2 linked regions of the Rattus norvegicus genome follow. Each later gene encodes a partner of the first gene's protein in a complex. Links are inferred from orthologs where the notes say so. Each region holds a gene or a part of one and is shown on either strand. Other genes may lie near its edges. The genes, in order: Exosc7 and Exosc1.

Region 1 (3,812 bases):
ATAACAGAGCTTTTCACTGCTGTAGCTGAGGCTGACAAAGGAGTTTGGGAATTACCACATTGCTGTGGCAGCAGTGAAGCTTCCAGTGCTTTTTAATTTGGGTTCTGCTTGCTAATGGTGTAAGGAAAGAGTAGGTAATTAGAGAATCAAAATTATACAATAAATGCTGCCCTGTGATTTATTCTTAGATTATACCACAAAGTAAGATTCCTTTCACCTCCTATTCCTTAAATAGATATGTGGGCCCAGCTGGTGTAATGAACTCTTCAGAATAAAATGAACACTTTTCTCTGGCTGGCCTGCAGAGCTAGGAAGCCTCAAGACTGAAGTATGGCTTGTAAGAGAGGTCTCTCACTCTACACAGCAGTGCATGTTTTCCTTGGAGCCTCTCTCTTCCTGCATTGATTCCTGCTTCTCTGAAGTTTGTGGCTTCTTTACCCTTCAGGAATAAGACATATACACCCACATATATACCATATACACCCACATATACCCCCACCACCCCATCCAACTTTCCCCGTCTCCAGCTGATACCTTCCAGGTTTTCAGGAGCCAGGAAACATGACTTTAGAGTCTGAGCTGATGCTGGCCCTCACCTGTCCTGACTACATGGATGAGTGATGTGCACTTACCTCAAGACTTAATAGGCTGTTTTGAGTCAGTACAGAATTCTCAGAATAGTCCTGTAAAGCCTTTTGAGTCATATTAGAGTAGCTGGTATGAACTCTTGTTAATTCTTGTGAAGGTAACTGGGCATAAGTAACAAGAGTCCAAAAAAGAATTTTTCTCTCACTTTTAAGTGACTGCAAATATGAATACTTAACAGGCCAGCATATTGTCGTGTTTCTATTCATTTCCTTCTCTCAGTACAGTGATAACCTCGTTTCTGGAGTCTGTTCTATCATATAGATTTTATCATATATTCTCCACCCCCCAAATCATTCTCGAGGGTATGACACTGACTCTGACTTTGCAGGCCAGCCAGAGAAAAGTGTTCATTTCACCCTGAAGAGTTCATTATACCAGCTGAGGTTTGCATTGCCACCGATCTGTTCTTCCTCTGCTGCTTGAAGGCCTATCATGTCCACTGACGGGTGCAGGGCACAGTGCTGGTCTCAACCATTGCGTACGCCTGTAGGATGCAAGGCCATCCAGTGCCATCCATGTCTCATTTCGCTCTTTGCCTCTTTTGCCTCATGCGAGCTAGGACAGCTCTCTGCCTTTTGGCCTTGGTGACATTCCTGATACTAGCTCGCCAGCATTCCACAGAGAACAAGGTCTTTGTACTGATAGGGACTCACTCACTTTTTCTGTTGCCATCTTGTGTAGTTCAGCCAATGCTACCCCAGAATTCGAAGGGCGAGGAGGTGATGACCTCGGCACAGAGATTGCAAATACCCTCTACCGGATATTTAACAACAAGAGCAGCGTCGACCTGAGGTCCCTCTGCATCAGTCCTCGGGAGCACTGCTGGGTGCTGTATGTGGACGTGCTGGTGAGTCACTTTGCACTGTCCCTGTCACTTCACACTTGTTGAAGATCTATTGGTCTCTTTCCTCCCTCTACCCTTCCTCCTCATGAAAAAGTGTTTTGTGTCCATGGTTAGATTATTTGGGAGGAGATGGTCTCCTGTAATACTTGTATTCACAAGACAAATACACAGCATTAGTAAGTAGTCCATGTAACACTGTTCTATACTAAAACTGTGATCACGGCAGAGTTGAACCTAAAATTACCCATTGGAGTTATCAGGGAATTAAAAACAAGAACCCTCGGGCTGGAGAGATGGCTCAGCGGTTAAGAGCACCTAACTGCTCTTCCAGAGGTCATGAGTTCAATTCCTAGCAACCACATGGTGGCTCACAACCATCTGTAAAGAGATCTGATGCCACCTTCTGGTGTATCTGGAGACAGCTACAGTGTACTTATATATAATAAATAAAATAAATCTTTAAAAAAAAAAAAAAACAAGGACCCTCTGGGTAGCACCAAACAGATGTAGTGTTTGAGTTTGGCAGGTTGGCATTTTGTATGGAACAAGCTCTTTTCACTGATTTTTTTCCCTAAGCCTTCTAAACCTTCTCTGAGTACACACTAGAGACCTAGAGAAAGAAGGAACTACTCATTTCTGATCAGTGGGGAACAGAGACCTACAGAAGTAAAGAAGTCAGCCAATGTCAGGCCAGTGTCTGCACTTGGCCTCCTCTAGGAGGGAGGATCTGGGCTCTAGGCCTCACCTAAAAAAGGAGGATTTTTCCAAGGGAAGCTGGCACATACAATAGGATTCGAGGACACTGTTTCCTGTGTTTCTGATTAAGACGTAGATAATTACCTGAATCACTGCTGCTGGGTATTTTTAGACTCCATATAGACAGAAGATTACGGCAAGAAAGTGGTAAATAACAAGGCCTTTCTGGGGATTAGAGGCTGCTGTTCTGCATTGTTAGGAAGAACTAAGTTCACCTTCAGTGGAGCCTCCTAGAGCTCACCCAGGCCTGTGTGTAAAAGCAGACCCTTGGGAATGTGTATGCAGTGTTTTTCTCGAAAACCTGAGAAAAGGATCTAATTTTTAATTCCAGAGTTTTCATTTGGGTCTTAAGTATATGGTCAGCACTCCTATGTAGCTGGGTGTTGTTAAGGTCTTTCTCAGGAGGAATGATGGATGCATAAATGCATAAACATGGTATGCCCATCAAAACCAGAAAGAGAGATTCTTCTTCTCAACGTGTAGTTAAAGCCATTTGTAACACCCATGCACTCTGTTCCCAGAAATAACCACTCTGAGCCTTAATATTTCATGAATAAATGCCTAGGCCAAAATCTTGGCTTGTTCCCTGGCTAGCTTATAGCTTAATTACCTGTGCATTCTATTCTAGGTCGTAAAACCTGCCCGGTTACCTGGTCCTCACTTTCATGCAACCATCATCTTCTGAGTCTAGGGCTGATAGCCCATGTCTATTTCCCAGACTGATATCCTGATCTCTCTCTCTCTCTCTCTCTCTCTCTCTCTCTCTCTCTCTCTCTCTCCCTCTCTCTCTCTCTCCCTCTCTCTGTCTGTCTGTCTGTCTGTCTGTCTGTCTGTCTGTCTCCCCTCTGCCAAATATCCCACCTGTCTGTCTCAGGTCATTGGCTATAGCTTTTTTTATTGAAAAATGATGCCTCTGTACAGTATGTAAAGATTCTCTCTACAATGTAACTTCTCCATCTCCCTGAGGAGTCAGGCTGTTGCCTTTCCCCCAGAACCTCAGGTAAAGGTTTCTTGGGAGGGTAGATTTACTACTTCCAAGTGATGTACGCTTTGACCTTGTCAGTGAGAGTCTACCAGTGATGAACTTGGGCTTTTATAGTTAATGCACAGTATATACTGGTAAGGTCCGAGCAGTGGGTGTGTGCCTTGTTAATCACATACCAGAAGTGTCCCTGGCTCCATAGCAATATCCTGTCAATCATCTGATAGCCAAGGCTAGAGTGAGGCTTGCAGTGCAGTTGGCAACCATCTGGGGCAGAATTAAGTCAGCCACTGCTTAGGTATTGCCCCAGCAGCTTGTGAGAATCTAATCACTTCAGCAGGGCAGTGGGGCCTTGCATGTGTGCCTGTGTAACCGCAGCCATGGACGAGCAGCGCTACAGTTAGGGAACATGTGGCTCTCTTCATGGCTCACCTAGTCAAGGAGGGCAGCCCACCTTCTGATCTTTATTCTAATTTATTTGTTTATATTTTGTCTGGTTGATTAATTGGTTTTATTTGTTCTTTGAGACAGAGTCTCACTGTGTAGCTCTGGCTGTTGTGGAACTCACTATGTAGACCAGGC
Region 2 (4,428 bases), on another chromosome or scaffold:
GAGGACACCTCAAACTGGAAATCAAACCTGTAAAGTGGAAAGCATATAGTTGCTGATCAAACTCCAGTGAACAAAGAATGGGTCCAGGACCCCCCCCCCCCAGCCTAGTGGGATATGAGGAGAAGGAGGAGACTAGAAAAAGATGTAATAAATGGACCACAAGTGAAAAGGTTTTACCTTGGGAAACAGAGAAAAAAAACAAAGTCTTTAAATCTAAATGTGGTGAGAAGTCATGGATGACCTGAATGAACAGAGGAGGGATAAGCCAGCATAGTTCCTCCAAACCCCAAGTCCTGCCACCTCTCAGTAGAATCCACAGAGTACAGTGGCCATCTGCCACCAGAGTAGAGATTAGCAGGCAACAGCACTCCCCTAAATCACCATCTGTATCTCAAAGAAGCCTGACTGACAGGGAGGGAAGGGGAGATAGGAATAAATTCCAGAGCCAAGAGATGAAACTGAGATCAAGTCACGGCAAATTTCATCTGGACACAGCTGCTGCTCCCGTGACCTTTGCCATATCAAGCTGATGTCAAGAAAGCATAATATTCTATTAATGAAGTTGTCTTTCCCGGCTAACATGCTAAAATGGAAGAATGCAAAAGGAATGGTATGTTAACGTCAAGCTGCCCATTCATAGTTAAGGAGCTCACGCTCTAGAGTATCTGCCTGCAAGAGAAGAAACTGTCGTTTTACAAAGCTTAAAAAAAAAAAAAAAAAAAAAAAAAAAAAAAAAGGTTGTGTCTCCAGGTGCAGCAGGGTCCAATTATGATAGGCTCAGGTCAAAAAAAAAAAAAGAAAAAGAAAAAAGGCTTAAGCTTAGTCTGTCTCGAACTATCTACGACACTTTGTACAAACCAAACCTTGTCTCTGGATCTGAGTCTCCAAACTCGTGAAATGGGCGAGTTGGGACTGAGGATGAGTTGGGACAGCCACGCAGGGCAGGGCGCAGAGAGTCCAGGAACTTGAACTTAAGGGCCTGGACACCCGAGACTCGGATGGGGACAAGAACCGCGCCTTCACTCTTACCTGCCTCCTGCCAGCTTCTCAATCAGCTAGATTAGGCCAAGTCTCCCTGTCAGCCACTCACTGCCTCCCCTTCCAGCTCGGGACCCAGGCCGGGCCGAGCTAAGGCTAACCCACCATGGCCCTGAGCCCGCAGCGCCAGCCAGCGGACCGAGACCCGCGGACAGCCCATCACCACCCAGCTGCGCAGGCGCGAGTCTCAGAGCCCGCAAAGTCACGCCCAGAACTCTGTCCCGGGGCAGCCTGGGAAATGGAGTCAGGCTTCGCTCTTACGCCTTGCGCGGTCGAAAGCGCCAATTGGTGCACGCGTAACTGCGAGGCCGCTCCTCTAGTTGACCAATAAGAAGTCGTCTTGGTTCTCATCCGGGTTGTGGACGGTGGCAAGCATGGCACCACCTGTGAGGTACTGCATCCCGGGTAAGTGAGCGGTCTCCGCAGGCAGACCCTGGCTGCGGGCAGCCAGTTTCTGGGAGCTCGTAGCTGAGGCACATGTCTTCTGCAGGCGAACGTCTGTGTAACTTGGAGGAAGGCAGCCCGGGCAGCGGCACCTACACCCGGCACGGCTACATCTTTTCGTCGCTGGCTGGCTGCCTGACGAAGACCAGCGAGAATGGCGCGGTAAAGAAAGCGGCTAGCCAACGAGCGTCACCTCTCAGGCTGCCATCGAGTTCTGGTCCTTGGGCACAGGCACTACCGGGAGGACCTGTCTTTGGTGTCTCAGAGCTTTGGTCTCCCAGCTTCTCCCAGCTCTGATCCCAGCGCTGTGCTAAAACACACCTGCTGCACACCATTTAGGTTGGGCTGGCTTAGTTGTGTAGAGACACTCACAGAAGGAGGTGGAGGGGAAAAGCACGCAAATTTGAGAATAGCCCGGCCAGCCGAGAGCTTCTTCCCGTCATGCATCTCGACTACCTCCGCTTTCTTGTGGCTCTTGTGTCCCACTTCACTGACATCAATGTAGTAATGCTGGAGATTTTCAGTGTCTTAGTGAACTAAACTCTGTTTCGAAGCCTATGCAATGCATGTACTTGTCTGTCTGGAACACACTTCTGCTCAATCCCTTTTGTTTTTTGTTTGTATGTATGGCTTTCCCAGAGAAGCCCTTCTGGACCTGCTGACTGAGAAAATGGGGGTTTTAGTGGCAGTAGGATTGTTGTGCCCAAGAACCTTCCCTGGAGCACTTATTTAAATATGTTACTCATGATAACTAGATTCTTGCCCAAGTAGAAGTTTAAGTGTAGCCATGCATGGTGATACACGAGTGTATTCCCAGCTTCTAACTGACTCAGATAAAGCAGTGGTTGACATTTGTAAGACTATAAAAACTAAGAATTAAACCTCCTCAGGCTGGGCTTGTGGCTCATCAGCACAGCGTTTGCCTAGCTTGGGACCTGGGGAAAAACACACCCTCTTTAGAGACTGGCAAAACCCAAACTTCCCACTTTGTGTTGTACTTATTTGTAAAAAAAATGGGCTCCAGTCTATTGGTTTTGGAGATAAAACTCAGCCTGTCAGTCTACTCACTACATAGATGTCCTGCCCAGTGGTGCCCTTAGTTGCTACTGGGGATAGAGTCCTGAGCCCAATACACTTAGCTTTTGTTACCAGGGAGACAGACACAAACCATGAGCAAATGCACAAACATATCTTCAAAAGAAGTGTGCGGAACAGTGAGAACATGTAACGGGCTGCATGAATTCTAGATAGTGACAATAATATTTCGGCACCTGAAGATAAGGAGAGGTGGAGGAGTGTGGAAAGAATGGATTAGACAGACAACGTGAAATGGGAGGGACTTAGTAAGGTAAGGAAACAGCACAGAGCAAGAGAGGTAAGATAATACACCAGTTGCCATTGGAGTAAAACAAGAGTTGCCATTCTATAGCATTTAATTGCAAATCCTGAAGTAAAAAAAAAAAAAGTTATAGCTTGAAGAAAGAGTCAGGATATTCATAATTATAAGCAATAGGATTTGTACCAGGAAATCCCAAGAGAGTCTTCAGTCATTTACAACTAATCAGAATGATCACATTAAACCTGGCAGCCTAGTTCTAATGGCCTCTGATCCTCTTTATTTCCTAAAATGACTAATGTCCTCTGCTATGGGCTATAAATGAATCTACAGGCTGCCTGCCCTTGTGACCTCGGCTGTTGTAAGATACCCCTGTATTATCCTCAGCCTTCAGTTCTCTTTACCCAGGGCTTACTTAGCCAGTACACTAACCTTCGTATTCTCTCCACAGCTTCCCGTGGTATCAGTAATGAGAGAGACAGAGTCCCAGTTACTTCCAGATGTGGGAGCTGTCGTCACCTGTAAGGTAAGCCGGTCCTAGTCATGATTAGGCCGAGATCCTACAACTGCCGTGGTCCGCTGCTTAATACAGTAGTCCCTAGCTAGAGAAGGGTGTTTTAAGTTTATTACTGCTAGAAGGTCAATCTCAGGGATGGATGTGTTGACTCAGCCTTTAATCCCAGTACTCAGGAGGCATAGGCAGGTGAATACTTGAGGACAGCCTGGTCTATGCAGAGAGTTCCAGGACACCCAGGGCTTCATAGAGAAACCCTGTCTCAAAAAGAAAGAAAAGAATGAAAAATTTATTTTTAGCCAGGCTAAAATATAAAATATCTGTGGTCTCGGTATTTGGATGCTGTTTAGAATTATTGAACAGTAGTCCAAGACCAGAATAGGCTACAGAGTGAGATCCTGCACCCCACAATCCCAACACTATTCACATTTTAAGTACTCGGTAGCAAATTGTGGTTAGTGGCTGCCATACTGGTTGACATATGACTTTAGTTTGGGGGGTGTGGGAAAGTGATGGACTCCCCAGAAGTACGTCTTCAGTTCTAGGAAATGATTGGTTTTGTTTTACCTCATGTGAATAGTTATCTTGTCTGTATCATATGCGTGCCTGCTACCACAAAGCCTAGAAAGGTGTGTCGCACCCCCTGGGACTAGAGGCACAGATAATTATAGGCCACCATATGGGTGCTAGGAATGGAATCCAGGTCCTCTAGAAGAGCAGCCGGTGCGCTTAGCTGCTGAGCCATCTGTCCAGCCCCAGGAAATCACATTTCTGTCATCACAGAAATTTTTGCTGGCAGGGCATAGGTGCACGCTCCTCCAATGGTGCTTGGGAGGCGGGGAATCTCAAAGGGGAGCTAGGCTGCAAGGTAACCCTCTGTCCCAAAGACGGCTGGAGGGAAGACAGACACGGCAAGAGGCAGGCATATCTCTGTGAGTTCAAGGCCGACCTGGTTTAGAGTGCCAATAAAGGTGGGGCTACATAGTAAGACCTTGCCTTAAAGGAAGCGGGAGAGGAAGGAGTAGGGGAGAGTGTGAGTCGATAAATAAAATGGCTTATCAGGCAGTCACTTTCCATACAAGCCTGCTGACGCACA

What was found.
Region 2: Exosc7 (region 1) and Exosc1 share a complex: the UniProt entries of both Homo sapiens proteins name them as parts of the RNA exosome core complex. The link is inferred for Rattus norvegicus from reciprocal best matches to the Homo sapiens genes EXOSC7 and EXOSC1.

The regions. Positions count from the first base shown.
Region 1 is NC_086026.1:131,664,294-131,668,105, forward strand, and holds part of Exosc7 (exosome complex component RRP42), read left to right. Parts: intron 1-1,329; coding exon 1,330-1,495; intron 1,496-3,812. UniProt on the Homo sapiens protein: Non-catalytic component of the RNA exosome complex which has 3'->5' exoribonuclease activity and participates in a multitude of cellular RNA processing and degradation events.
Region 2 is NC_086019.1:250,691,724-250,696,151, reverse strand, and holds the start of Exosc1 (exosome complex component CSL4), read left to right. Parts: upstream 1-1,403; 5' UTR 1,404-1,412; coding exon 1,413-1,443; intron 1,444-1,528; coding exon 1,529-1,644; intron 1,645-1,666; exon of another isoform or gene 1,667-1,821; intron 1,822-1,864; exon of another isoform or gene 1,865-2,830; intron 2,831-3,269; coding exon 3,270-3,344; intron 3,345-4,428. UniProt on the Homo sapiens protein: Non-catalytic component of the RNA exosome complex which has 3'->5' exoribonuclease activity and participates in a multitude of cellular RNA processing and degradation events.